Tamandua tetradactyla: one gene and its partners. The protein of the gene in region 1 interacts with the protein of each later gene in a biochemical or structural test. Links are inferred from orthologs where the notes say so. Each region holds a gene or a part of one and is shown in the gene's direction. Other genes may lie near its edges.

Evidence for each region. The genes of interacting proteins can lie anywhere in the genome.
Region 2: of the proteins of HTRA2 (region 1) and CSN2, one has a biochemical effect on the other in vitro, tested with the Homo sapiens proteins (2 studies listed by BioGRID). The link is inferred for Tamandua tetradactyla from reciprocal best matches to the Homo sapiens genes HTRA2 and CSN2.
Region 3: of the proteins of HTRA2 (region 1) and MAPK12, one has a biochemical effect on the other in vitro, tested with the Homo sapiens proteins (2 studies listed by BioGRID and IntAct, with this or other methods). The link is inferred for Tamandua tetradactyla from reciprocal best matches to the Homo sapiens genes HTRA2 and MAPK12.
Region 4: the proteins of HTRA2 (region 1) and LATS1 form a complex in vitro, tested with the Homo sapiens proteins (2 studies listed by BioGRID, with this or other methods). The link is inferred for Tamandua tetradactyla from reciprocal best matches to the Homo sapiens genes HTRA2 and LATS1.

The regions. Positions count from the first base shown.
Region 1 is NC_135343.1:48,419,262-48,426,362, forward strand, and holds the start of HTRA2 (serine protease HTRA2, mitochondrial), read left to right. Parts: upstream 1-4,094; 5' UTR 4,095-4,167; coding exon 4,168-4,667; intron 4,668-4,758; coding exon 4,759-4,963; intron 4,964-5,065; coding exon 5,066-5,260; intron 5,261-5,462; coding exon 5,463-5,495; intron 5,496-5,705; coding exon 5,706-5,811; intron 5,812-5,971; coding exon 5,972-6,041; intron 6,042-6,753; coding exon 6,754-6,849; intron 6,850-6,954; coding exon 6,955-7,101. Other genes in the region: lipid droplet-regulating VLDL assembly factor AUP1, read right to left, coding at 955-991, 1,097-1,215, 1,405-1,520, 1,636-1,755, 1,890-1,992, 2,073-2,139, 2,394-2,467, 2,562-2,634 and 4 more.
Region 2 is NC_135345.1:71,316,500-71,324,123, reverse strand, and holds the start of CSN2 (beta-casein), read left to right. Parts: upstream 1-4,609; 5' UTR 4,610-4,742; intron 4,743-5,732; 5' UTR 5,733-5,842; intron 5,843-7,624. UniProt on the Homo sapiens protein: Important role in determination of the surface properties of the casein micelles.
Region 3 is NC_135333.1:45,615,218-45,622,517, reverse strand, and holds the start of MAPK12 (mitogen-activated protein kinase 12), read left to right. Parts: upstream 1-4,285; 5' UTR 4,286-4,434; coding exon 4,435-4,559; intron 4,560-4,631; coding exon 4,632-4,761; intron 4,762-6,792; coding exon 6,793-6,851; intron 6,852-7,300. Other genes in the region: MAPK11 (mitogen-activated protein kinase 11), read left to right, coding at 1-106, 387-458, 678-757, 1,318-1,491, 1,603-2,211. UniProt on the Homo sapiens protein: Serine/threonine kinase which acts as an essential component of the MAP kinase signal transduction pathway.
Region 4 is NC_135328.1:141,250,542-141,258,537, reverse strand, and holds the start of LATS1 (serine/threonine-protein kinase LATS1), read left to right. Parts: upstream 1-4,981; 5' UTR 4,982-5,212; exon of another isoform or gene 5,213-5,528; intron 5,529-7,996. UniProt on the Homo sapiens protein: Negative regulator of YAP1 in the Hippo signaling pathway that plays a pivotal role in organ size control and tumor suppression by restricting proliferation and promoting apoptosis.

The DNA.
Region 1 (7,101 bases):
TCCTGCCCGGTATTCCAGGCCTGCCAAGAAACAATGCTGGGTATTAGAGTGTTCAAGTAAGGTCTATCGAAAGTGGACTATTACCCTGTAGCCAGGCAATAGAAATCTTGTGACTACTGCAGGTGTCCTCAAGGGCAGCAGGAATTATGAGATCTGTAACCTGTGGCAAGGTCCCCAGGGAAAAGGGATAAAGGATATGGGTAGGGGAGGAAGTAATTGGGGCAGCAGGGCCATAGGATCCTGAATTCAAACCTGTTTGTAGCTCTGAGAAGATCAGGATGGCAGCCAGTTCCAGACCCACCCAAGCAGTCACTACCAACCTTGACTCACGAGAAGTACAAAGGTAAATTCCGGCTCCACCCCGGGACTCCTCTCAGACACGAATCCTCATGTATGGTTTTGGGGTGGGGCCATTTGCTCCACCTTATTTAACCTAGTAAGGAGCCTATAGAAAACAGTCTTCAGCTACCACACTGAGTACATGTAAGCTCTATGGATGACGTGCATTGTGCTAGTGAAAGGCATCCTGGGCCTTGGAGTTCTTCTGCCGCTGATCTCCCCTCACTCCCCCAGCCCCCAAACCTGGGCTAAACACACAAGCTAGGGTCCAGTTGTTGCTGGGTCTTCAGTTCAGTTACAGTTCCATAAAACCACTCATCTCCTGGTAGCGAGGAGGTGATTTCAGACAATTCCATTCTGACTAGCCCCCATAAACTCACAAGGAGGCCCTCACCCTATGGCCCCCCAACCAAGGGAAAAGGAACCTGCTCAGGGGGCTTTTCAGACTCAGAGAAGCAACAGAGACCTTGAGTGAAAACCCTGAATTTAATGTGACATTGGGGGAGCCCCATCCCTCCCTTTATACCACCCAACCATATGGCCTGTTGTGAGTTGGGTGAGGGCTGCCCCCAGATTCCGCCCTGCGGCTCTGGGTGCCATCCTGTTCCTCTGCGCTCAGTCAGCCTCCTGGGCCCGTCTCTCTGTGAATCTCCTGGGGGACACAGAGAGAAGACATCATATGGGCTTTGCCATCTTAGCTCCATAATTCCTATCTTCAACCCACCCCTTCCTATCCATTGTCTTCTATATCCCTTACCTTCTCGCGTATTCATACAATGCCTGCTTGCGCTCCTGCAAGCTCTCCTGCCGGGCCCAGGAGGACTTGGCAAATGTTAGGGCTGTGGGCTGAGGGGTCACCGGGCTAGAGCTGGGGAACTGAGGTGATCACAATGTCAGAGGGCTTGCGAAGTCATCATCATTAAATGCGCATCAAGTGCCTACTTTGCAAGAGAGGCACCGTGCTAGGGTCTCAGGATAAAAAAAGAGACTTCAGGGCTAGGGAGTATGTAGACTGCTCCACCCTACTCCCAGTCTCAGACCTGACCCTCGTCTCCTTGGTCTCACCTTGGGAGCAGAGGCTGTGGGAAGGGACTGGGTCCCCTCAGTGATGTCTTCAGGCATGAAGGCCACGGCCCCCTCAAGCAGATTAGTGATGGTCAAGTCCACACAGCCAGTCCTGGCTGGGGAGAAGGGAAGAGAGAAGAGGGGAATCTGTTCCCTGTTTACCTTCTCCCCTCACAACCCACTTTTCTTCTCTCTGCCTGTTTCCCCATGTGAGGCTACCCTTTCCCATACCCAGGTCTCTCTGGATGACACCCAGTGGCACATGGGGCAAAACTTCCTTGACTCTCTGAGCCAGAGTTGCCAGTTGCGCATCAGGAGAAGGGCCAGGGGAGGGAGGGAAAGAAGACTGGACTGCAAAAAATAAATCAGAAACATGATGAGTGGAAAACTAGGAGGAAGGAGAGGCTGACTAGGACAGGAATAGGGCAGAAATTACAGAAGGTCTAAAAAAAAAAAAAAAAGCTCTGTGTATAGAGTCCACACACCTGACTGGGGGCGTAATCGGGGATGTCTTTGTCGCTTCATGTGCTCTGCTTTGTCTGCTGGAGTGAGCCGGGTACCTGTCTGGCCCAATTCCTTTGCCACCAACTAGGAGAATTGGAAGTTTGAAAGTGTTAGAATCTGAGGCCTCAAACTTTCCTCCCCCTCCCCCAGAGAGACCCTACCACCTGTTGCACACGGAGGGCAAACTCCTCATTCCCCTCCCCCAGCTGACGATGAAGAGGACGGAGCCACCTGTAAAAATAAAACAAACAATCCAGGGCCATGCTGGGGGCACCCGGGGTAAGGCTGTCATCTCCTCCCTACTCTTGGTACCTCTTTTCATGGAACAGTGGTGGTGAGGGGGGTAGATAGTAAATACTTTGTGTTGCCTCTGTGGTGGAACCTTGATATTAAAAGATCTGCAAATGGACAGGGCAGAGCCAGCTACTTCCTTGACCTTGAGGTGAGCTTCTCCCCAGCCACCAAAAAGTGAGGACGGTTAGTACCTTACTTGATACACCGTGAAAGGGACGAAAAGTGACCACAGCAGTTCTGAGACCCAGGAGGCATCTGACACCGTCTGAGGGAGGGTATGATGTGAGGCCTAAGCCAGGGCCACGGGTGGAAAAGTTCCCCTCCAAGCCCCAGAGATTCTCTGTCCAACAAACACTCACCACAGAGACCAGGGGTCTCTGAACTTGCAGGGCAAGAGGTTGTACCACATCCTGGATAGAAAATGGCCAGGAACTAAAAGAGAAATGAGAGAGAAGGATGGGCATCCAATCAGCCTAGTCAGCAGCTTATATGTAACTTAAAAAGGAAAACTGTCAAACCATATGACTAGATAAAGTGGGGTATAAAGGGATTCAGGGGACGGAACTAAAAGTGGACAGAAAGGAAATAAACTAGAGATGGGAGAGGGAAGGGATGAAGAAGAAAAAGTTGCGAAAATCCAAGGGGCCCCAAATCTGACCATCTACCCAGCTGAAGCCCAATATCTGTGCTTACCCACCTGAATCGTAGGAGCCCCTCACGGCCATTGGTGGCCTCCTCCTCAGGGAAGAGCAGCAGAGGGATGGGGGGAACCCTCGTGGAAGCACAGTATCTTCTGAGTGACTCCACCAACTCCCCCTGCCCATCCATCTCCATGAAGCCCCGAGACCAGCACACAAAACTGGGGGGACTATTGAGCAGAGGCTGGGAACAGAGAAGAAAGCAAGAATGGAGAAGAATGATGAAAACTGACAAGAGGGGTAGAGAAGCGGGGTTGGGGTAAAGTTCAGTATCTCGTGGTTCCCAGGGGAAACTAGAGCCAGCAGGTGGAGCGGCCGAGGGGAGCTTTGGGCCCCGGGGAACCGCTCTGGGAGACTCGCGGCTTCGTTCCCCCCCTACACACACTCACGGTGCTACAGGTCGTGAGCAGGTTAACTATGTTGTGGTCGAAAGGTGTCACGTGGTTGGAAATGAGCACCCTGACGCGATGATCCCGGAGTCCGGAGTCCTCCTGCCGGACTACCAGCCCCAACACCGCACACATGGTCCGCACCACGAACCTGGGGACACAGGCGGTGGTGACTGCGCGGCCTCAGGCCGGGCCCAGCCCTGACCCTCCCCGAGCGCCCGGGTCGGAACCTGCGGAGGACGCTGTCTGGCAGCGCGCAGCTGACCAGGAAGACGTGGATGCCGAGAAAGAGGCGCAGGACAAGGAGGCAGAACCCTACTGGTGCGTAGAGCAGCAGTGCGAGGAGCAAGAAGCCGTCACCCGGGAGCCTGAGGACGAAAGGCGGGCTGAGCGGGCGTCGAGGGCCGAGAGGAGGCGCAAGCCGTCTACTTCCCGCTGGGGTTCTTACCGGTGCGAGTCAAAGAGCCGCTCCGGCCCCGGTGCTGAGGGAGGCTCCATCACTGCTGCTTTAGGGGTGCCCGGCCACCGCCGCCGCCGCCATCTTCGTGCCCGGCCGCAGGGGCTCCTGGGAAGGCGGGGCCTTTGGGCCTCGGCCCAGGGTGCCGGGACCCGAAATCGGATCGAGTCGCCCCGGAAGGGCTAGCGGTTCCAGCATGCCCCGCGGCCTCCTTGGCCACCTCAGAACTCGCGCCCCGCGGGGACCACAGTTCCCGGCATTCGCGGGGTGGGGGCGGAGCCGGCCTCCTGGCCGCTGGGTACTGGCGCGCATTTCTGGAGGACTTCAGGTACCGGCGTGCCCCGCGTCCCGCTGTCCGCTTGCTCGCGTCCAGGGCACCGCCTCTGAGCCGGGCGGTCAGGAGACAGCCGAGGCGGAGCTCATGGCTGCGCTGAGGGCGGGGCGCGGTGTGGGCCAGAGCCTCTGGAGATGGCGGGCTTTGGGGGGTACTCGCTGGGGAACGGGACCCGTGTTGACCCCTGACCTCCGGGCCTTGCTGACGTCAGGAACTCCCGACGTTCGGGCCCGACTGACGTATGAGCGTCTCAATCCCCCGGCCCCGTCGTCGGCTGGGGACCCTGGACCTTGGGCATGTTTGACTTCGGGGGCTCCGGAATCCCGCGTGCGGCTGACCGCCGGGACTCCCGATCCCCAGAAGGCCTCAGAGACCCCCGGAACACGCCCGCGCGTGTGGCTGGCGGTGGCGCTGGGGGCCGGGGGAGCGGTGTTGTTGTTGTTATGGAGCGGGGGGCGAGGCCCCCAGGCGGTCTTAGCTGCGGTCCCTGGCCCGCCTCCCACTTCTCCCCGGAGCCAGTATAACTTCATTGCAGATGTGGTGGAGAAGACGGCACCTGCCGTTGTCTATATCGAGATCTTGGGCCGGTAACGGTGGGGTAGACCGGGAGGCCCCGGAGGGGTGGACAGGCAGGAGGGGTCAAAGCCTCCTCACATATGTGCTGCACCCCCATCCTAGGCACCCTTTCTCTGGCCGCGAGGTCCCTATCTCAAACGGCTCAGGATTCGTGGTGGCTGCGGATGGGCTCATCGTTACCAACGCCCATGTAGTGGCTGATAGACGTCGGGTCCGTGTGAGACTGCCCAGTGGTGACACGTATGAGGCTATGGTCACAGCTGTGGACCCCGTGGCGGACATCGCCACGCTCAGGATTCAGACCAAGGTGGGGGTCGAATTGGGACCCTCTCAAGGTGGGAGACTGTCTGGAACTTTGGATTTGGTTGCTTCTCCAGCTGACAGTTCTCTCTGGCCCCTTCTGCGGTAGGAACCTCTCCCCACGCTGCCCCTGGGCCGCTCAGCCGAGGTTCGGCAAGGGGAGTTTGTTGTCGCCATGGGAAGTCCCTTTGCACTGCAGAACACGATCACATCGGGCATTGTCAGCTCTGCTCAGCGCCCAGCCAGAGACCTGGGACTCCCCCAAACCAATGTGGAATACATCCAGACTGATGCAGCTATTGACGTGGGTTCTCATGCGAGAGAAAGGAGAAACTGGGTTGGAGGTGGGGAGACTGTGGTTCAGATTCAGGGACTGGGCTGCAAGAATGTTGCCACTCATTTATGGGCTAGGAAAGGATAAAATTTGGAGAGAGTGTCTACATCCTGGTTATGCCCCCAGGCTCAGGGTCCCAGGATCTCTTTCATGTTTTCTCCTTGTCCTGCAGTTTGGAAACTCTGGAGGTCCCCTGGTTAACCTGGTGAGTTGGACATCTTCTTAGAATGCCTGTCCCAGGTCAGTGTGGGGAGGGTGGGTTTTCCCTAATTCAAGGATGTTTGGTTAAGTTTCTTGTGTGCTGCCTCCCAGGATCCAAGCAGATCTCCCCAACATTCCCTGCTACCCTTGGTCCAGTGTCCCCCCAACCTGGACTATTTTGGGGGGCTATGGATCAGGGCCTGTGTCCCTACAGGATGGGGAGGTGATTGGGGTGAACACCATGAAGGTCACAGCTGGAATCTCCTTTGCCATCCCTTCTGATCGCCTTCGAGAATTTCTGCATCGTGGGGAAAAGAAGAGTGAGCCTGCTTTAGTGGGGAAGGAGATTCCTTTAAGTGGTGGGCAGAGCATAAGGAGGGGCTTTTATTGGGACTTGATTGAGAGGCGTCAGTTGGGAGGAGAGAGGGGGTAGGAAAGATAGCTGGGTTTCGTTGTGACTCATTTGTCCTTCTATCATAGATTCCTGGTTTGAAATCAGTGGGTCCCAGCGCCGCTACATTGGGGTGATGATGCTGACTCTGACTCCCAGGTAGGAGTGTTAGGGATAGTGACAGGGAGGACCACCGGTGTAATCAGTATTGGGCTAGGGGCACCCCTACTGGGCCTTGTTCCTCATTGCTGCCTTTTATCTAAGCCACCTCACATTTGGAGCTATCAGAACAGCTGTCCCTCTCATCACCTTGACTTTCTCATCCTGCTTCATTTGTACTGCTGCCACTGTATTGTTTTTGTCCTGCTCCTGCTTTGATTTAAAGCATTTGATCCATTAACCTGGTGTTTAAAGGCCATTTTCCATCTGTCTTATTTCAGCCTTCCAGACTTAGCTCCTGTTACTTTCTGTATGAATACTCTATTGCAGCCAACCTGGTTTCCTGCTCCCATGTTTTTATTTGTACTTTTCTTACTTTGTATGGTTAAATATCAGACCCGTCCTTCAAGGCTCAGCTCAAGTCTTGCTCTCCCCTTAGTCTTAGTCTTGCTCTCCCCTTAAGTCTCTTAGGACTTAAGAATGACATTAATGTCAATGATTTAACACTGTGTGTCATTTGGAACTAGTTATCTTTTATGTACATATTAGCTTTCCTAACTGCTAGAAGGCAGAAAGTGACCTGCCTTTGTATCTGTGGTACCTGGCCTGTGTCCTGTCTGTATGACTGTCAGTGTGTTGATGAGAGACATGCGGTGAACCCAGAGGGGGAGGGTGCAGCATGTGGATAACACAGTGACCTGTATCCTTATAGCATTCTGGCTGAACTACAGCTTCGAGAGCCAAGCTTTCCTGATGTTCAGCATGGCGTCCTCATCCATAAAGTCATCCTGGGCTCCCCTGCACACCGGTGAGGGAGAGGCTGTGCCAGGAGGGGAGGGTGGGTGAGCTGTGGGGCTGCCCTTGGATGGGGCTGCACACTCCCTCCCTTTTCTCTCTCCATCTTTCTCCCTAGGGCTGGTCTGCGGCCGGGTGATGTAATCTTGGCCATTGGGGAACAGCTAGTACAAAATGCTGAAGATGTTTATGAAGCTGTTCGAACCCAATCCCAGCTGGCAGTGCAGATCCGACGGGGACCAGAAACACTGACCCTGTATGTGAC
Region 2 (7,624 bases), on another chromosome or scaffold:
ACTTATTTCTTTCTCTTATTTCTTATATTTATAGCATTTTTTTCATTTCTATAGTCTTCATAGTTATCATTTTAACAACTGCCTAGTATTCTATGTTCTTAATGTACCATCATTTATTGAACCATATCCCTAATTTCAGGAATCCTGGGTCATTTCCAATTTTTTACTAGCCTCCGTTTCATTCTCATGAAAAGGAAGGAAGGTCTTTTGAGGAGTATTGTCAAGTTGATTAAGGTAATAATCCTCTAACCCTTTCTTGAAAGTCTATACTTGACTTTCCAGTGTTCTAGACAAGAATTGCCAGTTAAAAGAACTCTCAGAGGGAGAGCAGCCAGCATGCAGATTTTGGAAATGCTAGGAGTTGGAATAAAGCAGTCAATGTGTTTTGCCCTGTTCTGTCTCTGGCTATCCTATAGGATACAGAATAATGCTACATTTGTTTTCCCGGACTGGGTAGATGTTTAAATAAACCTTGGTTCACATCCCAGATCTAGTTCTTACCCACTGGGTGGTTTGGCGAACATCCCTTAAGCCGGACCTCAAACCCTCATCTGCAAATGAGGAAATTTGTCTGGATTACTCTATTTCTTCTTAATCAGTGTAGATAGTTTGTGTGTTTCTAGGAATTTGTCTATTTCATCTAGGTTATCTAATTTATTCACAGTATTCCCTGATAGTCCTTTTGTTACAGCAGGGTTGGTGGAGAGTCCACCTCCTTTTCATTTCCGATTTTAATTCTTTGCTTCCTCTTTCTTTTTTCTTTTGTCAGTCTAGCAAAAGGTTAGTTAATTTTATTGATCTTTTCAAAGAACCAATTTTTAATTTTGTTGATAATCTTTGTTGGTTTTTGTTCTCTGTTTCTTTTTATGTCTGCCTTAATTTTTATTTCTTTTATTCTGCTTGCTTTAGGTTTAGTATGCTTTTATTTTTCTATTTTTTTTTTTTCAGTTTTGAGATTAGGTCATCCTGATTTGAAATATTTCTTCTTTTAAAATACAAATATTTAGAGGTATAATTTTCACTCTTAGCTCTCCCTTTGCTACATCCCTTAAGTTTTTGTATAATGTACTTTAATTTTCATTTGTCTGAAGATGTTTGGTAATTTCCTTTATAATTTTCTATTTAGTTCATTGGTTAAGTTGCTTTATTTCCACATATTTTTAAATATTCCATTTTACCTTCTGTTATTGATTTCTAGTTTCATTCCATTGTGCTTTGAGAAGGTACATTGTCTGATTTCAATATTTTTGAAATATTGAAACATTTTGAGACTTATTTTATGACCTAAGATGTGGTCTACACTGGAGAATGATTCATCTGCATTTGAGGATTATGTGTACTCTACTGTTGTTGGGTGAACTGTTCTATATATGTGTATAACATCTAGGGTGTCATTCCAGTATTGTATTTCCTTATTGATCATTTGTCTAGATGTTCTAACCATTAGTGAAAATGTGTATTTAGATCTACTATTAATGTGGAAGTGTATATTCATTCTTCCTTTCAGATCTATCAGTATTTTCCTCATATATTTTGGGGCTTTTCTATTAGGTGCATATATATTTGCAATTGCTATATCTTATGAATTGTCCCCTTTATTAGTGTGAATTAGCATATGTGTCTCAGTTTTTGATGTAAAGTCAGTTTTATCTAATATTAGTAGAACTACCTCAACTCTCTTCTGGTTCCTACTTGCGTTGTATACTTTTTCCATTGTATACTATTTCACTTTCTACTTACTTATGTCTATGAACTTAAGGTGAGTCTCTTGTAAATGGCAAATAGTTGGGTCACGTTTTTAAAAAATCTTTTCTGTCATTTTCTGCCTTTTGACTAGAGTGTTTAATCTGTTTACATTTAAAATCACTCCTGAGAATTCAGAATTTTTTTCTGCCATTTAGTTGTTGTAAGGTTTATTTGTTTTTTTGTCCCTCAATTCTTCTGTTAATGTCTACTTTAATATTTATTTATTTATTTTTTGTATTGTATTTTTTATTGTAACATTTTAAGTCCCTTCTCTTTTGTATAAGGATATATTTTCCTTGTGGCTACCATGGGGTTACAATCTAACATCGGAAATATATAATAATCATATTTTATTTGATAGCAACTTGACTTCAGTAGTATACTACTATGCCATTCCTACACCCTCCCTCTGTCCCCCTCCCTTTTTTTTGTACTGGTTATGAATCATATCTTTTTACATTGTAGTAAAAATTATTTTTTTTTTTACTAAGATTTTCCATTACTTTTTATGCCTTTGTATGTTAGCTACTGTGGGAAGTAAGAAGTGGAGTTGCTTACCAAAAAATAAAATACAATATTACTGGCGTTTATATTCACCCAAATGCTTTGAACTGTTGTCTACCGTCCTTTCCTCCCAGCCTGAAGAACAACCTTTAACACTGCTTGTAGTGCAGGTCTAGGGGTGATGAACTACCTCAGCTTTTGTTTCTCTCTCCCTCATTTTTGAAAGTCTTGCCACATATCAGATTCTTGATTGACAGTTATTTTCTTTCAGCACTTTAATTATTTTGACCCAGTGCCTTTTTGCCTCCATGGTTCCTAATGAGAAATTGGCAATTAATCTACTTGAAGTTTCCTTGTGCATACACTGCTCTTCTCTTGCAGCCTTCAGAACTTTTTCTTTGTCTTTTGCATTTAACAGTTTGATGGGACCTATTTTTCTTCATGTTTATCCTGTGTTGTGTTTTTTTTTGGGGGGGTGGTTTCTTGGATGTGCATATTAAGTTTGGGAATTTTTCTGTCATTATTTGTTTGAATATTCCACCTGCTTCTTTCTTTCTTTTTTTTTTTCCTTCTCCTGGGACTTTCATGATGTATTTATTGGTATGCTTGATGGCGTCCCACAGATGTCTTAGGTTTTGTCACTTTTTATAATTCTTTTTCCTTTCTGCTTCTCAACTCCAGTTATCTTGTTTGTTTCCTTTTAAAAACTTCTCTCTTTTTACTGAGGTTCTCATATTATTTGTTCATCATTTTTCTGATTGTATTAGCTTGTTAAGCTGCTAGAATGCAATATGCCAGGAATGGAATGGCTTTTAAAAAGAAAATTTAATAAGTTGCAAATTTACAGTTCTAAGCATATAATTTTATACTTGTAAGCCTTTAAAAATGTACAAACTAAAGCATCCAGACAAAGATACCTTAATCCAAGGAAGGCTGATGGATATGGAACACCTCTGTCAGCTAGGGAGGTGTATGGGTACTCCAAGCATCTCTAAACATCTGTGTCCTGAAGTAACTGTCCTTTGAAATATTACCCCCTTTAAAGACCTCTAGTAAACAAATCAGACCCACTTTGAATGGGTAGAGTCACAACTCCACCTACTTAAAAGGTCACACCTTTTGATAGACCTTTTGGGCATGCCACATCTCTGTGGAGATAATCTGATCAAAAGTTTCAGCCCTACAGTACTGAATCAAGATTAAAATAAAGGGCTTCCTCCACAAGATTGAATCAGGATTAAAACATGACTTTTCCAGGATACACAGTAGCTTCATACCAGCATACTGATATTCTTTAATTCTTTCTCAATATTTTCCTTCATCTCCTGAGCATATTGAAGATCATTTTTTAAATACTGTTTTTATAGTATATCCACAATCTGGTTTTCTTCATTGATATTTTCTGGATTTTTATCCTCTTCTTTTGGATGGGCTGTCATTTCCTTTGTCTCTGTTTGTCATGTAATGTTTTGTTGCGCACTGTATATTTTAATATTTTAAAATGTTAAGTCTGGGATTTTTTCCCTGAAATGTCTGTTTCTTGAGTATGTAACCAGGTGGTGATATGATGGAGATTTTCTTGAGTGTCAAGAGGTAACAATATGGAGCAAACGTAAGCAAAAAGCACTTTTCACTGTCTTTGCAAACCGACTTGGAGTTGTTTGGTTCTTCATCAGAGCTGCACTCACATATCACGAAGTTCAGCCCAAGGTGAATGCAAAGTGCAGGGCCCTTCTTGTCTTTTTCTGGGCCTGTATCTTGTCCTGGGCTTGTGCTTCCTGGAGGCCTTTGGATTTCCCCTTTTTATAGGACTTTGAATGGCTCTTGTACCTCCCAGAAAACAGATCTTTATCCTCTTGTGTGTATTGTACTGCTGGACTTAAAACAGGTAATCCTTTGCCCAGGCCTTCTGACTCAATTGTTTCCTACAGAACTTTTATTGTCTCAAGCTGCTTTTGCCTGGCAGCCAAATTCTGGGTGGGGGTGAGGCAGGGACACTAGGGAGGATTTTCCCAAGTCAGTCTTTCCCAGCCAGAATAAGGCCAGGAACCCATATGGTGAGCTTGCCAGCTACAGACTGCCCTGGGGAGGGTTAAAAGAGGGTCCAGGGAAGGTGCCAGGAACTTCTTACAAGGCTCCCCTATGCTTCACTCTATTGACTGGGCCCCTGCCCAGTAAATGCAGCCTTTCAGCTGTCCTCTAGAGCTCTGAGGAAGCATACTGTCTTAAGTTTCCTCTGTGGCCTTTGTCTGGGGCAGGTTGGAACAATGGTCACCCTCAGGGCCAGGGCCCTAGTGATCCAAAATAGATCATCAAAAGCAGCTATTGGTGATTGGCCCATGTTCCACCTTCGCACAGACCTTCGGGGCAGTGGATATTTTTGTCCTTCCCTGGTACCAGCAGGCTACATAAGGGCCTGGACCCGACTGTTGCATGTTGCTAGAGTGGGTGATGGGTGATGGTAACCACTGTGTGGAGAGACTCGTTTACAGGTATTTACTGTAATTTTCCAGCTTCTTCCTCTTATTCTTTCCTGGATACTGTACAGTATTCTAGCTGATTCAAACAGTTCTGGCTTGTTTGATCATTGTTCTGGTGGAGGGACTGATTCCTAGTACTTCTACCTCTCCATCTTCCCACCTTGACTTGTTTTAATTCTTTGCCCCAACACCAGCAGGACAGCTCTCTCTTAACAGTATCATCTTTGGTGAGGTATCCACTCAGATCTTTTGTCCTTTTTAGAATTGTTTTTAAAAATTGTTGCTGAGTTTTAAGAGTTTTTATGTATTTTAGATACAAGTGCTTTTCAGATATGTGTTTTGCAGAGATTTTCTCTCACCCTGTGCTTGTCTTTTCATTCTATTAACAGTGTCTTTGGAAGAGCAGAAGCTTTAAATTTTAATATAGTCCAGCTTATCAGTTTTTTCTTTCATGGAACATGGCTTTTGTGGTGTACCTTAAAAGTCATCACCAAACACCAGGTCACTTAGATTTTCTGTTCTGGAAGTTTTGTAGTTTTTTATTTAACTTGTAGATATATGATCCATTTTGAATTAACTGAACCTAGAAGTCAGCAAAGGTGAAAGCTTAGTCTTAAGTATTTTGTTTTTTGGAGCATTCATCTTTCTTAGGTATGCTCATGACTTTGTAAATTCCTTAGTATGTATGGTCACTTTTCTATGCTCTAATTTCCCAATGAAACTCTTCTCTAGCCCCAATTTTCTCTCCCATCTTTTTGGCCTGCTTATCCTTTGCCTCAACTGGACTCTTTTGTCCCAGATGGCAGTGAATTTTTCATTTGACTTACAATTTTGGGGGGAATTGTCCTCTGCGTTGTCACTTTTCTGCCCTGAAAGATTTCCTTGTTAGGTGAAACAAAGGCAAGCACCTTGTATCAGAACTTCAGGAAGCTCCCAGACAGGTCAAAAAGGACAAGTACACTTTTTTGAGAATAAGATCTGCTTTTCTTCTTCTGGAACCAGGGACCAGGGTCCATGCTGGGAACATGAACTGTCATTTTCAAGACCATTGCCCAGCTGGGAAGTGGAGTAAAGCAAGGGCAAGTAAGATGCTCAAAGTCTTCCAACCATTTGTAAGTTGCCTTTTTCTTGATTTACTTGGTTGCTTTAAACCTTTGACTATTTTTAAGAATTCTAATAAAGTTGAACTGATAGGTTTTGCTTCATTTCTCTATATTTCTTTGGAGTGATGGGTCTTTAAAGCTCTCTACTCAGCTATTTTCACTTACATGATCTCCTATATAAAGATCTTTTCTCCTAGACCTTGTTAACTAATAAGATTTTTTTTTTGTAGAGTCCTTGTTATTTCTACATAGATGATAAAGCATTATTTTAAAAAATAATCTTTGTGGCTTTTACTTTTAAAAATTTTCTTAATTCACTGTTAGAACCTCAGTACAATTTTGAATAGAAGTGGTAAGAGGCTTCTATGCCCTTTTCGTGATTTTAGGGGAAAGTGTCAGTATGATGCCAGGCATAGGTCTTTTTGAAGGTGCTCTTTGTTAGTTTGAGTAAATTCATTTCTATCTTTAATTTTGGCATGAATGAGTATAGTGTCAAATGCTTTTTCTATGTCCTTTGAGATGATCATGGTTTTTGCTTTAATCTTTCAGTATGGTGGATTGCCTTGATTTGAAAGTTAAGCTAACATTGCAGTCCTGGAATGAACCTCCTTTGATCAGTCATTTTTTTAATGTGTTGCTGGATTTGGTTTGCTAAAATTTTATTAAGAATTTTTAAGTTTATATTTATAAGGTATAATTTTTTTCCTTCTTTTATAATGCCTTTGTCTGATTTTGATATCAAGGTAATGGTGGCACCTTAAAGTGAGTTGGGCAGTGTTCCCTCCTCATATTTTCTGGGAAAATTTCTGTAGAGTTGATGTTATTTATTTTTTAAAATACTGATTTGATTTCTCTGTAAAGCCATCAAGGCCTTTGCTTTTCTGTGGGAAATTTTAAAATGATGTGTTCAATTTCTTTAATAAATGTAGACCTATTCATGTTGTCTATTTCTTCCTGTGTGAGCTTTGGTTGTTTGTGTTTTTCAAGGAGTTTGTCTGTTTCATCCATATTGTCAAATTAATTGATGTGAAATTGTTCTTAACATTCCCTTATCTATTTAATTCACGTAGGGTCTGTAGTGGTATCTTTTCTCTCATTTCTGATATTGGCAGTTTGTGCCATCTTTCTCTTTTTTGTCTTTGATCAGTGTCTAGAATTGATTTTATTGACCTTTTCAAAGAAGTACCATTTGATGTCATTGATTTTCTCAATTGGTTTTATGTTTCATAGGTATCTGGTTTTATCTCTATTACTTAACTTCTTCTGAGTGTTTTGGCCTTAATATATTCTTCTTTTTCTGGTTTCTTAAGATGATGCTTATGTCACTGATTAGGGAGCTATCTCTCTCCTGGCATAAGTATTTGATGCTATAAGATTCCCTTAGCAACAAAATAATGCAAAACAAACAAACAAAACCTCCAGCTGTAGAAAAAAAAGAAAAGAGAATATCAAGTACTGGTTATTCAGAATTATCAACCCTGTCCTGCCCTCCTTCTCTCTTCTTTCCCAGATGGCACCCTGGTACTTTCTCACTGCCCTTAACTCAACTATAAAACTCAAGCACCTCCATGCCTTCCTCAGAGTTGAATTCTACCCTTCTTCCTTCCCTTAGTGACTATGAATAAAGTCATCCTTGCCTGTTAAAAAATTCCCTTAGCACTGCTTTAGCTATATCCTCCAAAATCCTTTGATTTTGTATTTTGATCCATGGGTTATTTAGAAAAAAGTCATTTAATTTCTTATTATTTAAGGAAACTTTCATCTATCTTGCTGTTATTTAATTTTAGTTAA
Region 3 (7,300 bases), on another chromosome or scaffold:
TTCGGGCTCGCCCGCCAGGCGGATGAGGAGATGACTGGCTATGTGGCCACGCGCTGGTACCGGGCCCCAGAAATCATGCTCAACTGGATGCACTACAACCAGACAGGTGGCCGTGGGGCCTGCGTGGGGCATCCATGTCCTGTGGGGGCCATGGCCTGGGGAGGGTGGCCATGCACCCCAGGGGGTCCTTCCCGGTGATGGGGTGAGGCAGGGCTGGGGTCAGCATGCACAAACAGACCTACAGGGGGCCCTCTGCGTTGAGGGGGGAGGCTCCAGTGGGCCTTCCCACACCAGGTTGAGCCCCATTGTGGGTGAGGGTCACCGGGCTGCCGCCCCGGGAGGAGGGGGGCCAAGACTGATGGCAGCCTGTGCCCTGACCCCCACAGTCGACATCTGGTCGGTGGGCTGCATCATGGCCGAGCTGCTGCAGGGAAAGGCCCTCTTTCCAGGAAACGACTGTATCCTTGGCCCCGCAGGGGTTGGGGGGTGTTGGAGCCAGGACCTCCCAGTTGTGGGTGGGCAGGGCGACAGGCAGTCTCAGGCCCTCCCTGTCTGGCTGTTCCCCCTGGCTCATTGGCCGGGGAGAGGAGCAGGCTCTGGGCAGCACCCATGGCTTCTGCCCTGGGGGGCTTGGGCAGGCCCCTGCTGGCCAGTGGGTGTTTCCTGAGCCGAGGCAGACATCGACCAGCTAAAACGCATCATGGAGGTGGTGGGGACCCCCAGCCCCGAGGTTCTGGCCAAGATATCCTCGGAACACGTGAGTGGGTGCCCCCTCCCCCCCCGCCCTCTGCGGACTAAGGCCCCGGGCACTCTGGGGGACACCATGGGAAGCAGGCTCTGTATGGGGAGTGCAGGGCACTGCCAGAGGAGCCAAGGCAGGTGCCCTGCCCCTTTAAGGGATACGGCAGGGCAGGGGACACAGCGAGGGCACAGTCCTGACACTGGTAGCAGTGGTTTGGCCAGGGGCAGTGGGGTGGAGGAGGGGACAGGAGGGTTAGGTGAGGGGCTACGGTCAGAGGGGTTAAGGGGCAGGTCTCTGGCTGCCCCTGTGCCAGCCAGGGCTGGGTAGTGCCTGGGTCTGGGGTCTTCTCTGGAGTCCCTGCTCTGTCCGGGGCCTGCGGTAGAGGGTGTGTGGTCCCCTCAGGCCCTCCCCCATGTGCCCCCAGGCCCGGACATACATCCAGTCCCTGCCCTCCATGCCCCAGAAGGACCTCGGGAGCCTCTTCCACGGAGCCAACCCCCTGGGTGAGGATGGACCGGGACTGGGTGGGGCCCTCCACTGGCCGGAGGCGGGGCTGACCCTCCCGCGGCCCACAGCTGTGGACCTCCTGGGAAGGATGCTGGTGCTGGACAGTGAGCAGCGGCTCAGCGCGGCCGAGGCCCTGGCCCATGCCTACTTCAGCCAGTACCACGACCCCGAGGATGAGCCTGAGGCCGAACCCTACGATGAGAGCGCGGAGGCTGCTGAGCGCTCAGTGGAAGAGTGGAAGGGTGCGCAGGGGTGGAGGCTGGGACAGGCAGAGCTGGGCAGCGAGGGGAGCAGGCACCGCACTGGGCCTAGACTGGGCCGTCTGTGCTGATCCTTTCCCCATTGCCCCCCAGAGCTCACCTACCAGGAAGTCCTCAGCTTCAAACCCCCAGACCCCCCACAGCCACCCAAGAGCCTGGAGATTGAGCAGTAAGGGGAGCCCACCTGCCACCTCCACACTGCTAGAGGGGCCTAAGCCTGCACCCTGCTCATCCTGGGACTCTGTGACGGGTGCCACCCTGCAGCCCTGGCCCAGCAGCCCACATACCTGGCCTGGGGCCTACTTGCCTGCTCACCGTGCCCAGGGGGTCCTGCACACACATGTGTCGGCAACAAGTATGTGCCCGTGTCCTTCACCCCCGCCCCCAGCCATCTGGGTCTCCCTCTGGATTTCACAATGGGGGATTTGCATACCATGGGGCTGCCCCCCAGGCTGGTGTCTGTCTGTGCCCTGTTCTCTGTGTACAGTGGGAGTTCGCCAGGACCCCCTGGACTCAAAGGGATGGTTCCAGGGATCAGAGCTGCTCAGGCCAAAGGGGGTCTGCCCCGGGAGTGCTGAGACCACCTGTGCCCCCCAGGCTGGGCAGGGTTTCCCTGGTGGCTGGCCAGGCTGGGACACTACAGGCTTCACGTCAGAAAAGCTGGGGCCCGTGTGTTCACCTGTGCTGTCTGGGCACATGTGAATCTGTGGGTGCTAGGAGCCCATGACCAGGAAGAGGCCAGAGTTGGGTTGCTCTGCACCTCCCCACATGCTGGGTACCCATGAAGGGCTCCTTGGGCCGAGGGCACCCACTTGAGCAGATGCCAGGGCTTTCCTTTGTGGGTGCATAGAACCACAGCAGATTGCTGAGCAAGGGAGCATTGCAGCCAAGGAGCTGAGGCAAGGGAGGGCCCGTATCTGTGCTGCAATCTCAAGCCACCAGGTTGGGCAGAGCACACAGGTGCACACATGGACGTGACCTTCACATGAATGCCCCGGCCCATGGACTTTGGACAGAGCTGATGAAGAAGCCTTGCCGGCCCTCTACCTCCCCTACCCTCATGGCCCTTCAGCTGGGGTTCTGGGGTCGCCTTGTCCCCCTCCTCCCACAATAGAACTGACCGAGCATCCTCTGTGGGTAGGCCCCTGCCTGGAGACTGGGTGGTAACCTCCTACCCTGGGGGTACCTAGGGGGGACTGGATGTGAAGTGCCTGTACACAGGGGCGCTCAATAAAGGGCTTCCCTCATGCCCCACCAGTGTCCGACATGCTAGGCCCCCTGCCTTTGCTGTCTCCACCTCTGGGGGGCTCACCATGGGCTGCACCCACCCTGGCCTGGCCCACAGGATACCAGGCAGTCATGCAGCCTGGTGAGAGAACAGCTGGGGCACCGCTAGAGGCAAATGCTTCCTCTCCTGGGGGCCAGGCCTTTCCCTTCTGGCTAATGCAGACTCCGGGGGGTGGGGGTGGTGTAGAGAAAAGAAGGCTGCTTTCAACCTTGAACTCTGCAGGCCACTCTCACCTGAGCCTACTCCCACTGCTTTTTGCAGCTCCCACCTGGGGGGCTGTAGGCAGGATCCTATAGGCCTAGGCACCAAGGCTGCAGGGCTTTAGGTACCTGGGAAGCTCTAGAGACATGGCTGGCCAAGGCCAGTAGGGGTGGGGCGGGGGAAGGGGCCCTGGTCTGAAGGAGCAAGGGCCCCTATGAGTGCTGGAACCCTGGGCTCCACCCCAGGGAGTAAGCCAGGGGGGCTTCCTGGAGGCAGAGTACCCCACTCAGCCCAGGGCATGGGGTGCAGGTGGCTTTGTGGGTGGCATGTGCCATGCTCCTGGCTGGGCTGGCTGTGGGCTGCTCTTGCCATCAGCTGGCTGTGCATGTGCCAGGGTCACCGACCCCAAGGCCAGGTGTAAAGCTGGTCTGGCCATGCCCAAGGCTGCTGAGCTGCTGATTCACGGTTGGCAGGCGGGGCCCCAAAAGGCAGGGAAGGGGGCACTTGGGATCCTGCCACCCACCACCAATCAGCTTTGAGGGGACCCCCAGGCTCCATCCTCAGGAGCACCCAGACCCATGACAGGACTATGCCTACACTGAGAGGTCAGGGCCTGAGAGGCCCCCCACCCCTGGGGCTTGGGCAAGCCTTCAGGGAGGGAGAGAAGCCAGGTTGGACAGATAGGACAAGCAGGGGGCAGGTGTGTGTGGGGGGAGCAGGCAAAGGGACTAACAGTGGCCTTGGGATGGGGGAAGAGGTGGAGGGAGGAGTGGGAGCCAGGGTGCAGAAGGGCCGAGGGGGGATGGGAGGCTTGGGGACAGGGGTTGAAGGATGGACACTGGGGTGGCCACCTGAGAAGTCTGGGAGACAGAACCAATCCCGCATATGTTAGGGGGGCTGCAGGCAAGACCTAATCGCAGATGGGTGGACCCGCCTGGGGGTAGGGCATCCTAGGGGGTGCGGTGGAGACCCCCTGCCAGGAGATTCAGGGTGGGGGTAGGGGGCTGGGTCTGGGAGGCTCAGGACAGTGACCAGGAGTTGGGGACAGAAGTTGGGCAGCATAGGCCCGGCGGCGCACTGGGTGTGGGCAGTAAAGAGGAGACCAGAGCGCTGCGGCCCCTGGGGACCCGGGCATCCGGGGCGCCAGCCCAGTGCGGAGCCAGCGGCTTTCCGAGTGTCCCGCCGCGCCGCCTCCTCGCGGGGCCGGGGCTGGGCCATCCCCCATCGCCTCGGGTTTCCGCAGGGCGGGCCGTCACGTGCGCCGGGCCCCGGGGCGGGTTGGTCGCGGGCCGGGGTGGGGCAGCGCGGCAGGAGCCGGGCAGGGGTCGGGCCGGAGTCGGCGGTGCGGGAGCCCGGAGGGCGGCGACCCCAAAGGGGACAGCAGAGGGCCGCCGGGCCCCGGTTCCGGGAGCGCGGCGCCCGGCGTCCGGGCAGCGATGACCTCCCCGCCGCCCACCCGCAAGGGCTTTTACCGCCAGGAGGTGACCAAGACCGAGTGGGAGGTGCGCGCCGAGTACCGCGACCTGCAGCCCGTGGGCTCCGGCGCCTATGGCGCGGTGTGGTGAGCGCGGGCGCGGCGCGGGGCGGGGCGGGGGCGAGAGGCCCGGCCGAGGCTGAGCCGCCCACCCCGCAGCTCGGCCGTGGACAGCCGCACCGGCGCCAGGGTGGCCATCAAGAAGCTGTACCGGCCCTTCCAGTCGGAGCTGTTCGCCAAGCGCGCCTACCGCGAGCTGCGCCTCCTCAAGCACATGCGCCACGAGAACGTGAGTCGGGGGGGTCGCACCCGGCCCCGCCCAGCTCGCCCCGCCCCCCGGAGTGCCGCCTGCGGGAAGGCCGGCCCTCCCCCCGGCCTTCCTGTGGGGTGGGTGTAGGTGGGGGCCCAGGAGACATTGGCAGACTAGGGACCTTTCTGGCGTACACCGTTTTCCCCCACGCCTAGGCCTCCTTGTTTGGGGTAGAGCCTGCATGGATTCCCTTTCGCGGCAGCCCCCTGCCACCGCCGCTGTGACGGGTCTGGGCTCAGTTGGCCTTCCAGGTTTGCCCCCAAATCCTGCCTCCATTCCGGGAACCGTGGTGAGAGGAGTTGGGCACAGCACTTTTCCTGGAAGGGCCCCCCAGACTTCCCTTCAGCCTCCCCAGGCCCCTCTGTTCCGCCTGCCTCATAGTTCCTCCTTCTCCAAGTGGGACTGCACCTGTCCCAGCCCCCTGCAGAGCCTGGGGTCCCACTCAGGAGGGGCGCCCAGGATGCTGGCCAGGGCAGGGGTTGGGGTGCCTCCTCCTCACCCAGTCCAGGGTTTCATGGACAGGGTGGGGGGTGGACAGGTCCGGACTCCCCAGGGAAACCCCCCCACACCCCTGCCTTAAGTTCCGGGCTGAGAGCTGAGCACTGTGAGCTTTGGCTGGTCGCTATGTACATCAGTGCACCTGGGCCCTTGGTTCTGGCCACTGCCCGCTCTCCAGCCAAATACTTGTTCTCTGGGACTTCTGTCTCCACCCTGTGCCCTGGGGCACTCAGCCTCTGCCCTGAGCCACATCTGGGACGTGATCTTCATGGGGGCTGCCTCCCCCCCCCCCCCCCCCCCGTCCGTGAAACCCTGGGCTGGGTGAGGAGGAGGCACCCTAACTCCTGTCCTGGCCAGCTTCACCAGCACCCTTCCCGACCCGACTCGGACTCTCCGTTCGGCCCCTCCCAGGCCGGCACAGTGGACATGCCATCCACTGAGCCAGCAATCCCACCAGCCCTTTGGGCACCTGGCCCTCTCCCTAGGGCATCCTTCCCATAGCCGCGCAGCCCACCTGCTCTGTTCTACTCGCCTACAACCCCCTCCCTCCCTGCTGCTTGCTCTGTGTGGACCAAGGGGGCCTTTGTGGGCTCTGGGCTCCCCTCCCCCCAGGCCCTCCTCAGCTGGAACCCTCGATGGCTGCACATCTAGGTCTGCAGCCTCCAGCGGTCTCAAAGTCCCCTCTGGGACTCCTGCACTGGAGGTGGTCCCTTTCTGACAGCCCCCAGCACACCAGAGACCTAGCATTCCACCCTCCCCCCCCCACACTGGACCTGGCGGCTGCGGGGTCACTGTCTACACCTGCCTCATGTGGTCTATCCTGCACAGTGGCCTGAGGAGGTGGTGAGGGTCCCGCCCCTGCTTAAGGGCTTTCCAGGGCCACTTTTAGGGTTACCTGGACTGGAGGTCCTCCCTGCTCCTGACCCAGCCACCTGCCTCCCCTGTGTTACTCTAGCACATGGCAGGCTCCCCAGGGCCCGCTGGGCCTCTGCACCCCACCTGCCCTGCAACCTTGGTAGGCACCATCCTCACGAGCAGGCCGCCCTGGCCCCAGGTTACCTGTCTTCCATCGCCTCCCCAACCAGGGGCCCCGTGGGGCCGGCGGGCTGTGGGTCTCAGCCTGGGGAAGGACTGCAGTGCTCACAACCTGAGGGCTGCCCCACCCTGGGTCCCAGTGTCCATGGGCAGAGCAAGAAGGGGAGGCAGGACCAAGGGCTGACCCTGTTGTGCTTGGCCTGGAGCCAGCCAGACTTGACTTTCCCACCCCCACCCCCACCCCCGCACATCCCGGCTGTCACCATCCAGAAATAGCCCGAGGCTGTGGGCACGTGTGTCCCGGCCGGGGCTGCTTGGTGAGTGGGCAGTGTGGGGAGACAGGGACAGTGCGGGGGGTCCGGCCTGGAGCCAGTGCCAGCGGGGTAGAGGTGGGGAAGGGATTGGGTTGGGGAGCACCACGCCACAGCCCCTGCTGTCCACACACCTCAGTCCCCCTGCCCACCCCTCTTCCCCCAGGTAATCGGCCTGCTGGATGTGTTTACTCCTGATGAGACCCTGGATGACTTCACAGACTTGTGCGTGGCCAGCCAGGGGCTGGGCAGGGCTGGAGGGGTGTTGGGGAATCCCCTGGCATCACTTGGGGTGCTGGATTGGATAGGGACCCTGGCTCAAGGCAGGGACTGCTGCCAGCCCCCTCTCCCTGCAGTCCTGATGCACCCTCACCATCCATTCTGCCAGTGCCTCCCTAAAGCTTGGCCAGGCTTCCCAGGGCTGCTGGCACCCAGGCACTCCCCAGCACCCATGGTGTGGGCCTTGGCCTAGCACATGTGTTAACAGGCAGGCCCCGTGCTCAGGGCCCTGGTGCCAAGAGCCTGGCCCGAAATTGGAGCTGCTGACCTTTCTGGTGGGCAGGGAGGGGGCAGCAGGGAGGCCCCGTCTGCCTGGCCCGCTCCCCCAGGGCTCTCAGCCACAAGCCAGGGCTGGGCCCAGGAGGGCTCGGGAGGGCAGCAGATGGCAGGGTACA
Region 4 (7,996 bases), on another chromosome or scaffold:
AGAAGTGATTAAGAATGTAGGCACGGGTTTCAGACAGCCTGTACTTATGTCTTGCTTTCCTCACTTGCTGTGTATAAGTGCTTAAAAACCTATTTCATGAAAGCTGGTACTTGGGCAGATATTTGCACACTGATGTTCATTGCAGCATTATTCACAATTGCCAAAAGTTGGAAACAACCCAAATGTCTATCAACAGATTAATGGATAAATAAAATGTGGTATATCCACACAGTGCAATATTATTGAGCCGTGAAAAGAAGTGAAGTGCATGGTACAATACTGATGAATTTGGAGAAATCAGGTTGAATGAAATAATCCAGGCTCAAAAGGACAAATATTGTATGATCTCGCTTATATTAAATATTTAGGATAAACTCATAGAGACAGAAGGTGGAACAGTGGTTCCAAGGCGTGGCAGGGAGGGGGATGGGGAGTTATTGCTAAATGAGTATGAGTTTTGGTTTATGATGATGATAATAGTGTGTTTGAAATAGTGGTGAAAGTTATACAGTATCATCAGTGTACTTAATGTCAAAGAATTGTCCACTTAAAATGGTTAAAATGATTGTAACATGTATTTTACCACAACCAAAAATAAATTTTAAAAACCTATTTCATATTTTAGTTAAATATATATTGCACATCTACCATATGTCAGGCAGTGCCTGGAGCTAGAATATAGCAATGTACAGTACAACTCTTTCTACCTTCAGGGAGCTTACAGTTCAGAAGAGAGATTAGCAGAAAGCTGCTATTTGGAGTATCTGTCTACCTACTGTCTTTAATCTTTGGAGGCTTTATGAGAATGATTTATGGGCATGTCCCTTATCACTTCATTTGAGAAAAGAGATTAATAAAATCCTGATGATCAATTTAGCACATTATTTCTGTTACTCAGGATTCTAGATGAGGGGTCATCCTATTTGAGACAAGTCTTGAGAAAATGAACAAGAAAAATCACAGGAATCAATTGTCTAACAAAGAACTGGAAACCTTGACTACACTTGCACAAATTAAGACATCTGATGTATAATGTGATGGGACCCTACTCTTCTGACCTTGATTTCCACAACCTGTGTGATTCCAAATCCTTCCCTTAGATCGTATGAGTTGGGGAAGGTTGATATGCTCAGGACCACATTGGTCTCCACACTTCATAGATGTGGGCTACCTCTTCCTTGGTACAAGCACCCAAGCATAAATTTGGCCCCCATTATCTATTGCTAATGACAAAATGAAACCACAACCACCCCCCATAAAACATTGAAGGGTTTTCTATAACAGCAAAAGAAAAACCTTCAAATGCAATGTCAGTCTTTGCCATTCTTACATGTCCAGCATCCCTTTCATGCTGCACAGTTACAGCCACTTTCCATCTTGTCAGTTGTACCTTCTCTCCTGATCATTCCTTGTCTCCTTTCCCTGATCTTCTCCCCTACTACTTCATAGTAGTAAATCTTCTCATAGTCCCACACAGGGCAATGCACTGCACTCCTTGAATTATCTAAAAATTTTTCTAAGGACAATGGTTTACAAATATAGGCTCCTTTAGGCTTAAAGAAAACCAAGGAGTTTAAGTGAAGAAGATTCTTAGATTGGTGACAGAGGTGACAAGACTCTGGGGGCAATAGGATCTTACAGATGTATACTGGTGATGGTACCACAATATTGTGATTGCTACTAATCTACCGAATAACACACCTGAAAGTAGTTAAAATGGGAAATTTTGAGTTATGTATGTTGCTACAATGAAAAGCTAAAAAAAAAATTAGACTTCTTTTCCTGATGTTAAAGTAACTAGTGGCGACTGTATCCAGAAATTCAAATGAAAAAATGCTTTTAAAATAAAAGATTAAGTTCCAATCTGTGAAAGTTAGGGGATATGACCGGAGGTGGGCCACTTAATAGCCCTAGGTGTTATTTTCTTCAAATGGAGGATTAAATAACATTTAGGTTCCTTTCGGCCCTAAAATTATATGAATTATATGAACTAATATATTCACATACCTGCTTGTCTTACTCAGGATTGTGTATCTGAATATTTTATTGCAGTAATATATGTACAACTCAACATTTCCCATTTTAACCACTTTCAGAGGTGCAATTCAGTAGTAACATTCACAATATTGTGTTACTATCACCAATATTCATTACCCCAACTTTTTAAACACCTCAAACAGAACCTCTGCTCTCATTAAGCAATAACTCTCTCTTCCCCTCCCTACCCCCTGGTAATCTATAATCTATTATCTGTCTCTATAAAATTTGCTTCTTTTAGGTATTGTATATAAGTAGGATCATACAATATTTGTCTTTTTGTGTCTGGCTTATTTCACTCAATGTCTTCAGGGTTCACCTGTGTTCTAGCACATATAGCACATATCAGAATTTCATTACTTTTTACAGTTGAAAAAGATCCCATTATATGTATATACATTTTGTTTATCCATTCATCTGTTGATGGACACATCCACCTTTTGGCTACCTTTGGGGATAACCCTACTATGAACTTTAGTGTACAAGTATCTGTTCAAGTCAGATACTTCCAGTTTTTGGGATTGTGCTGGTTTGAAGCTCTTACGTACCACAGAAAAGACCATGTCTTTTAATCCATTCTTGTAGGTATGGACCTATTGTGGGTGGGACCTTTTTGTTAGGTTATTTCAATTGAGATGTGACACACCCCATTCAAGGTGGGTCTTGATCCTTTTACTAGAGTTCTTTGTGACAGGATAAAAGACAGAAAAAGAAAAAGCCCAGGGATCTCATAGAGAAACACTCAGAGCTTGGAGAGAAAAACCCCCAGAGGACCTAAGAGGACCCACAGAGGAAGCCACTAGAACCAGACCTGAAGGCAACGAAACCTGGGACACTGGCCATGTGCCTTCCCATCTGACAGAGGTGTCTCAGATGCTGGCAGCACAGAGATACCTGTGCTCTGCGTTAACTGGGATGTTTTCTGCCGTAATTGGGATATTTTCATGACCTAAGAACTGTAAATTGTAAATTAATAAATCCTCATTGTAAATGTCAACCCATTTCTGGTATATATTGCAGCATAGCAAACTGACACAGGAGTATATACCAAGAAGTGGAATTGCTGGGTCATATGCTAGCTTATTTTCTTAAAACAAAAATTTTACTCTAACAGAAAAAGGAACAAAGGAGATATTTGAAAATGCTATTTGTATATATTTTCTAGGGCTGGAACTGGCAAGGCTTTGTTCACAAAGGGTGGACAGTGCCTCCAAACATCACAAACCCAGTGACTATTAAGCCTGAATTATGTACCGCAACCATATACAAGTTCTTCATCTTAGTCTACATTCCTGTAGCTGTGAACACATTGTAAACAAAACTTTAAGATGTTATTTTAATTAAGGTGTGAGGAACTGACACAGGGTGGGCCTTAATCCATATTACTAGAAGCTTTATAAAGAGAAGTTAGAGAAGCTCAGAGAAGGTCATAGAGCAGCCAGGAGCCAGAAGCTAGCAGTCAGCAGAAACCCAAGGAGCAGACACAAGGAGAGATCATCACGTGACAGGAGGCAGAGATGCAAGTCAAGGAACCCCAAGGATTGTGGCAACTACACAATTTGGGAAAAGAAAGCATGGTCTTGCTCCTGCCTTGAGTGTGGACTTCTAGCCTTACAAACTGTGAGCCAATAAATTCCTGTTGCTAAGCCAACACATTGTGTGGTATTTGTCATAGCAGCCTGGTTGTGGTTCATGTGCGGACTTGGTCAGGTGATGGTGCCCAGTTGTGTGGTCAAGCAAGTACTGGCCTAACCATTATTCAAAAACATTTCCTGGCTGGTTTATAAACCAAAAGACTGGTTTATTAAATCATCAGTCAGTTGACTGCATCTGTGGCTGATTACACCTACAATCAACTAAAGGAGTATCTTCCACAATGAGAAAATCCAATCAGTTGAAGCCTTTTAATTTAAAGCAATCAGTTGAAGATTTTTAAGGGAGAAGAGAGAACCTTCATTTCTTCAGCAAGCCTCTCCAGAGGCTTTGTCGGAGTGGCCTGTTATCAACTGGCCCTATGGAATTTGGACTCATGCATGTCTCACAGGTGCATGAAACACTTTTATAAAATTTCATATTTATAGATATTTCATTTTGGTTCTGTTTCTCTAAATAACCCAAATAGATTGGCAAACTAAGACACCCACTGATCCTATTCCAAACTTTCAATTCAACTTAACAGGAAATAAAACTCACATCCCTCACTCTTATTCTAATTATAGCAATATTACCTCTCTTTCTATCTAAATGGTGGACAAAGATCTAAAAGCTGTTCAACAATTTGCCGTGATCAAGGAAGGTATTATTTGGCTGATTTCAGAAAATACATATTCTTGAAGCTCAAAGGTGTATTAAGGGTAAAGTATGATAAACAAATCAAAGCCTCTAGAAATCCTGAATCTGATGTCCACAGCGAGGTTTCAGAATGCAACTCACTGCTGTTTCCTTCTTCAGAGAATTAAGCTCCTGAAGACCGATCCATAGAAAGAACTCTACAGATAAAAGAGAAAGATCGAAATAGAAAGGGGTAGGCATGGGCGGGGGAAGGGCCTTGTCCCACAAACGGGGCGAATCATTGGACCGAAAAAGGCAGGCGCCACATGGGCGAAGCTCACTGACTTGCAGCAGAGAGGCGCCGGCCGAAATCTGGAGTTCCGGGTCCAGGAAGACTCATCCAGGACCCGGGCTCAGGGGTAGGGCCCGGGATCGGAGGTCCATAGGGCCCGGGTGCTGGTTCCCAAGGTCAGAAGGTCTAGGGATCCGGGGTCACCGGGTCTTAAGGGTTTGGTCGGGGACCCGAGTCCTGGGAACCTGAAGACCGGACCGGGGTCCACCGGCATCGCGCTCGCTCCAGTGGAGTCTGGCTCTAGGGTGCCTGCCAGCGAGATCCCGCCAGACCTGACCGCGCAAGCGACGCCGGGAAATGCCCACATCCGGGAAACCTGCGGCGGCGGCGACGGAGTGGAAGGCAAAATGGCGACGGTGGTGGTGGCGCTAGTGGCCTGGTGCTGAGCGGAAAACCAGGTGCCCGCGACTTCGCGACGGGTGCTGCCCGCCTCTCCTTGTCTGCTCCCTCTTTTCCTCCCGGGATATTTGGGGCCCCGCAACGCGCTCCGGCAGCCTCGGTGCCCGCCACGGGCCCGTGGCCGCTGTCCAGGAGTCCCGCTCTCCCCTGCAGGTAGGTCTGGGGCGGTATAGCGGGTTCAGCTTCCTCTCCTCCCAAGCCCTAGTCTATGGGGTTGTGGCCGCCGGTCTACGCGGTCCCCGCTAGCTTGGGTCCAGGGGCTGCTGCAGGCTGGCAAACCGAAGGCCGGAGCCGGCCTGTGCGGGCCGAACCCGCCTCTGGCGATGGTCGGAACCGATCCTTGCCCCGGGAACCCGCGCCTGGCCTGCAGGGAGAGCCTCCAGGCCTTGGGCCTCCGAGGAGCCGCTCTGCCGGGCAGAGCCTGCGGTGCCGGTGGCAGCCGGCGAACTGTCAGCCTGCGCTCTCTTCCGCCCACCCCCACGCATGAGTCCCGCGTGTCTGTCTGTCGTGACCAGGGTGGAAGGTCAAGAGAAAACAGTAAAAGAGAAGAAGTTATTCTAAATCTAGTGAAAAGTAAGTATAGTCTCACTCAAAAAAAAAAAAAAAAATACTGTTGTATCACTTCAGCTTTTAAAATGGATTTGAGTGCCCGGGAACATGAAACTTGTCAGGCTTTTACAGATTGTTTATGGAAGGTTAAAAATGTTTCATTTCCTCCAGGAGAAAGAAATTATAATTGAAATGGATATTCTGTACTACGATACTAAGGTTTGTAATTGTTTTAACTCAGAATACTTCTGTCCTTTAATACATTGACAGGTAAAATGGGCTCGTTGATTTCCTAAGGCAGGGGAGGAATTTGACTGATTTAACAGTAAAAGAAGTAGCATTGTGCTCTTCTGATCGGCTGCTAAGGGAGAAACTAGATCATGGCCCATGCGGTGGAAAGAACATTCTTTTTAATCCTACCTATTGATTGAATGTGCTTTGCTATTCTCTAAAAGCAAGTAAAAAAATTCTTCTACTAACATTTTTTTTGTACGATATCGGGATTCCAACCAATATTTAATTTTTGTGTGTAATGCTAGTCCCTGTTCTAAATTATAGTGTTGGAACAGTCAGAACTCTGGCTACTTAGTTTTATCATTCTAAATGTTATATTTAGGTCAATGAGGGATTTTTGTAAATCACAAGATTTTTGTTAGGTAAGAATGGCAATCAGTTTTTCAGTATGAAGATAAATATAGTGATTATTTTCAGTTTCAATCATTAATTCTTAGAAAATGACTCAAAATGTCAGTATTGCATAAATTCAAACAACTAAGACGATGAAGACTTATGCTGCTAAGAAAGAAGCAGCACATATTACTGCTGATATTCTCATAACTGATCGATTTGAAAAATTGAGAAAGGCCATGTTTTTATAATCCTAGTGCAACCCAATGTAACTCTTGGAAATCTTATTATGTAACAGTTCCAGTTTTATTCCTTAGCATTGGCAAGATACTCAACAGTATTTGTTTGCATTTACTGATGTTTGTACTTTTGATGAAAGTCTGAACTTTCAAGGAAGTGGAGACTTTAAGACTGTTCATTCTAACCAATTTAAGTAACCCATCTGTGAATGTGCGAGTCATGACCCTACCCTCAGGAAGCTCAGGATGTATAAAATAACCTTGGGCTGGGCCAGGTTATGTGGAGTTTATATGTAGAGTCCAGCTGGCTATAAGATCTTGGGCAGGCCACTTTGCTTCTCTGGATCCCTTTCCTCATCTGAAAATGTTATTTCCAGTATACCCTATACTTTGTGAATGTGTGATCTAGTTTGAAAAATAAAACAAGAACATGAATAGAACAAAAAACATGGTCATATTTATTTAAACTCATGTAAAGTGCATTTGGAGTTCAGAGGAGAATAACAGTTGGGAGTTCAGTGAAAGCTTTAGTGAAAAAGGAAGTTTTTGGATGGGGCCTTGAGGATTGGGTATAATTTCTTTAAAAAGAAATATGGCAGGATGCTACAGTTTGGTACCATTTAGTCCCATGGGTTTGAAATCCAGAAACAAGTGTAATCTTTTGTGATTTTAAAATGACTGTTAAAGGAAAGTTTGTTTTGTTCCTTTGAATTTGGTGGGGAGGAGTCTGCTGGAGAGCTTTGCCCTGGTGTTTAATGCTTATTGTGAGAAGTGGAACCACAAAACCATAGAGCATGTAAAGTGCCCCAAAATTAAAATGGAAGATTTAATTTAGTACAATTCATTTACCATTATTTATAAATATCAGTAAGTTGCACTGCTATTAGTAATTAAAAATAAAAGCAATTGGTCATAGTTAAAAAATAAATGGTAGGGTTCATGACCAAAAGGGGGAAAAGAGTTGTAACAAAATAAGGTATCAGTGGCTGAGAGAGTTCAGATAGAGTCAAGAGGCTATTCTGGAGGTTACTCTTACACAAGCTTCACCTAGATATTGTTATTTACCATGGTTTGCCAAACCCCAACTAAAACCATTCCTACCAGCCCTAAAAATCACCCAGGGCTTTATTGGAGATTCTACAAAGATTCCATGCATTATGAATACTTTTCAGAAACCTACAACCTCCAGAGGGATTCCTAGGCCAGATAAGTTCTAAAACCCAGAGGAACTAGCCTCTCCAAGAACATCAACTAGTTCCATACCCCTATCCCATATTATCAACACCCCTTTCCAACATGAGAAACTTAGAATGGGCATAGCCCAAATACCCCTAAAGATTGGGAGAATGATCAAAGGAGAAGGTGGAATTTTAACAGAGAAGGTAGAATGAGTATGATTGCTGAATCATTACATTGATATTTCTTTTAGTCTCCCAGTGTCTTGGAGCAGCTAGAAGGAAGAACCTAAAATTGTGGAACTGTAACCCATACCAAACTCTGGAATCGGTTCTATAACTAATTG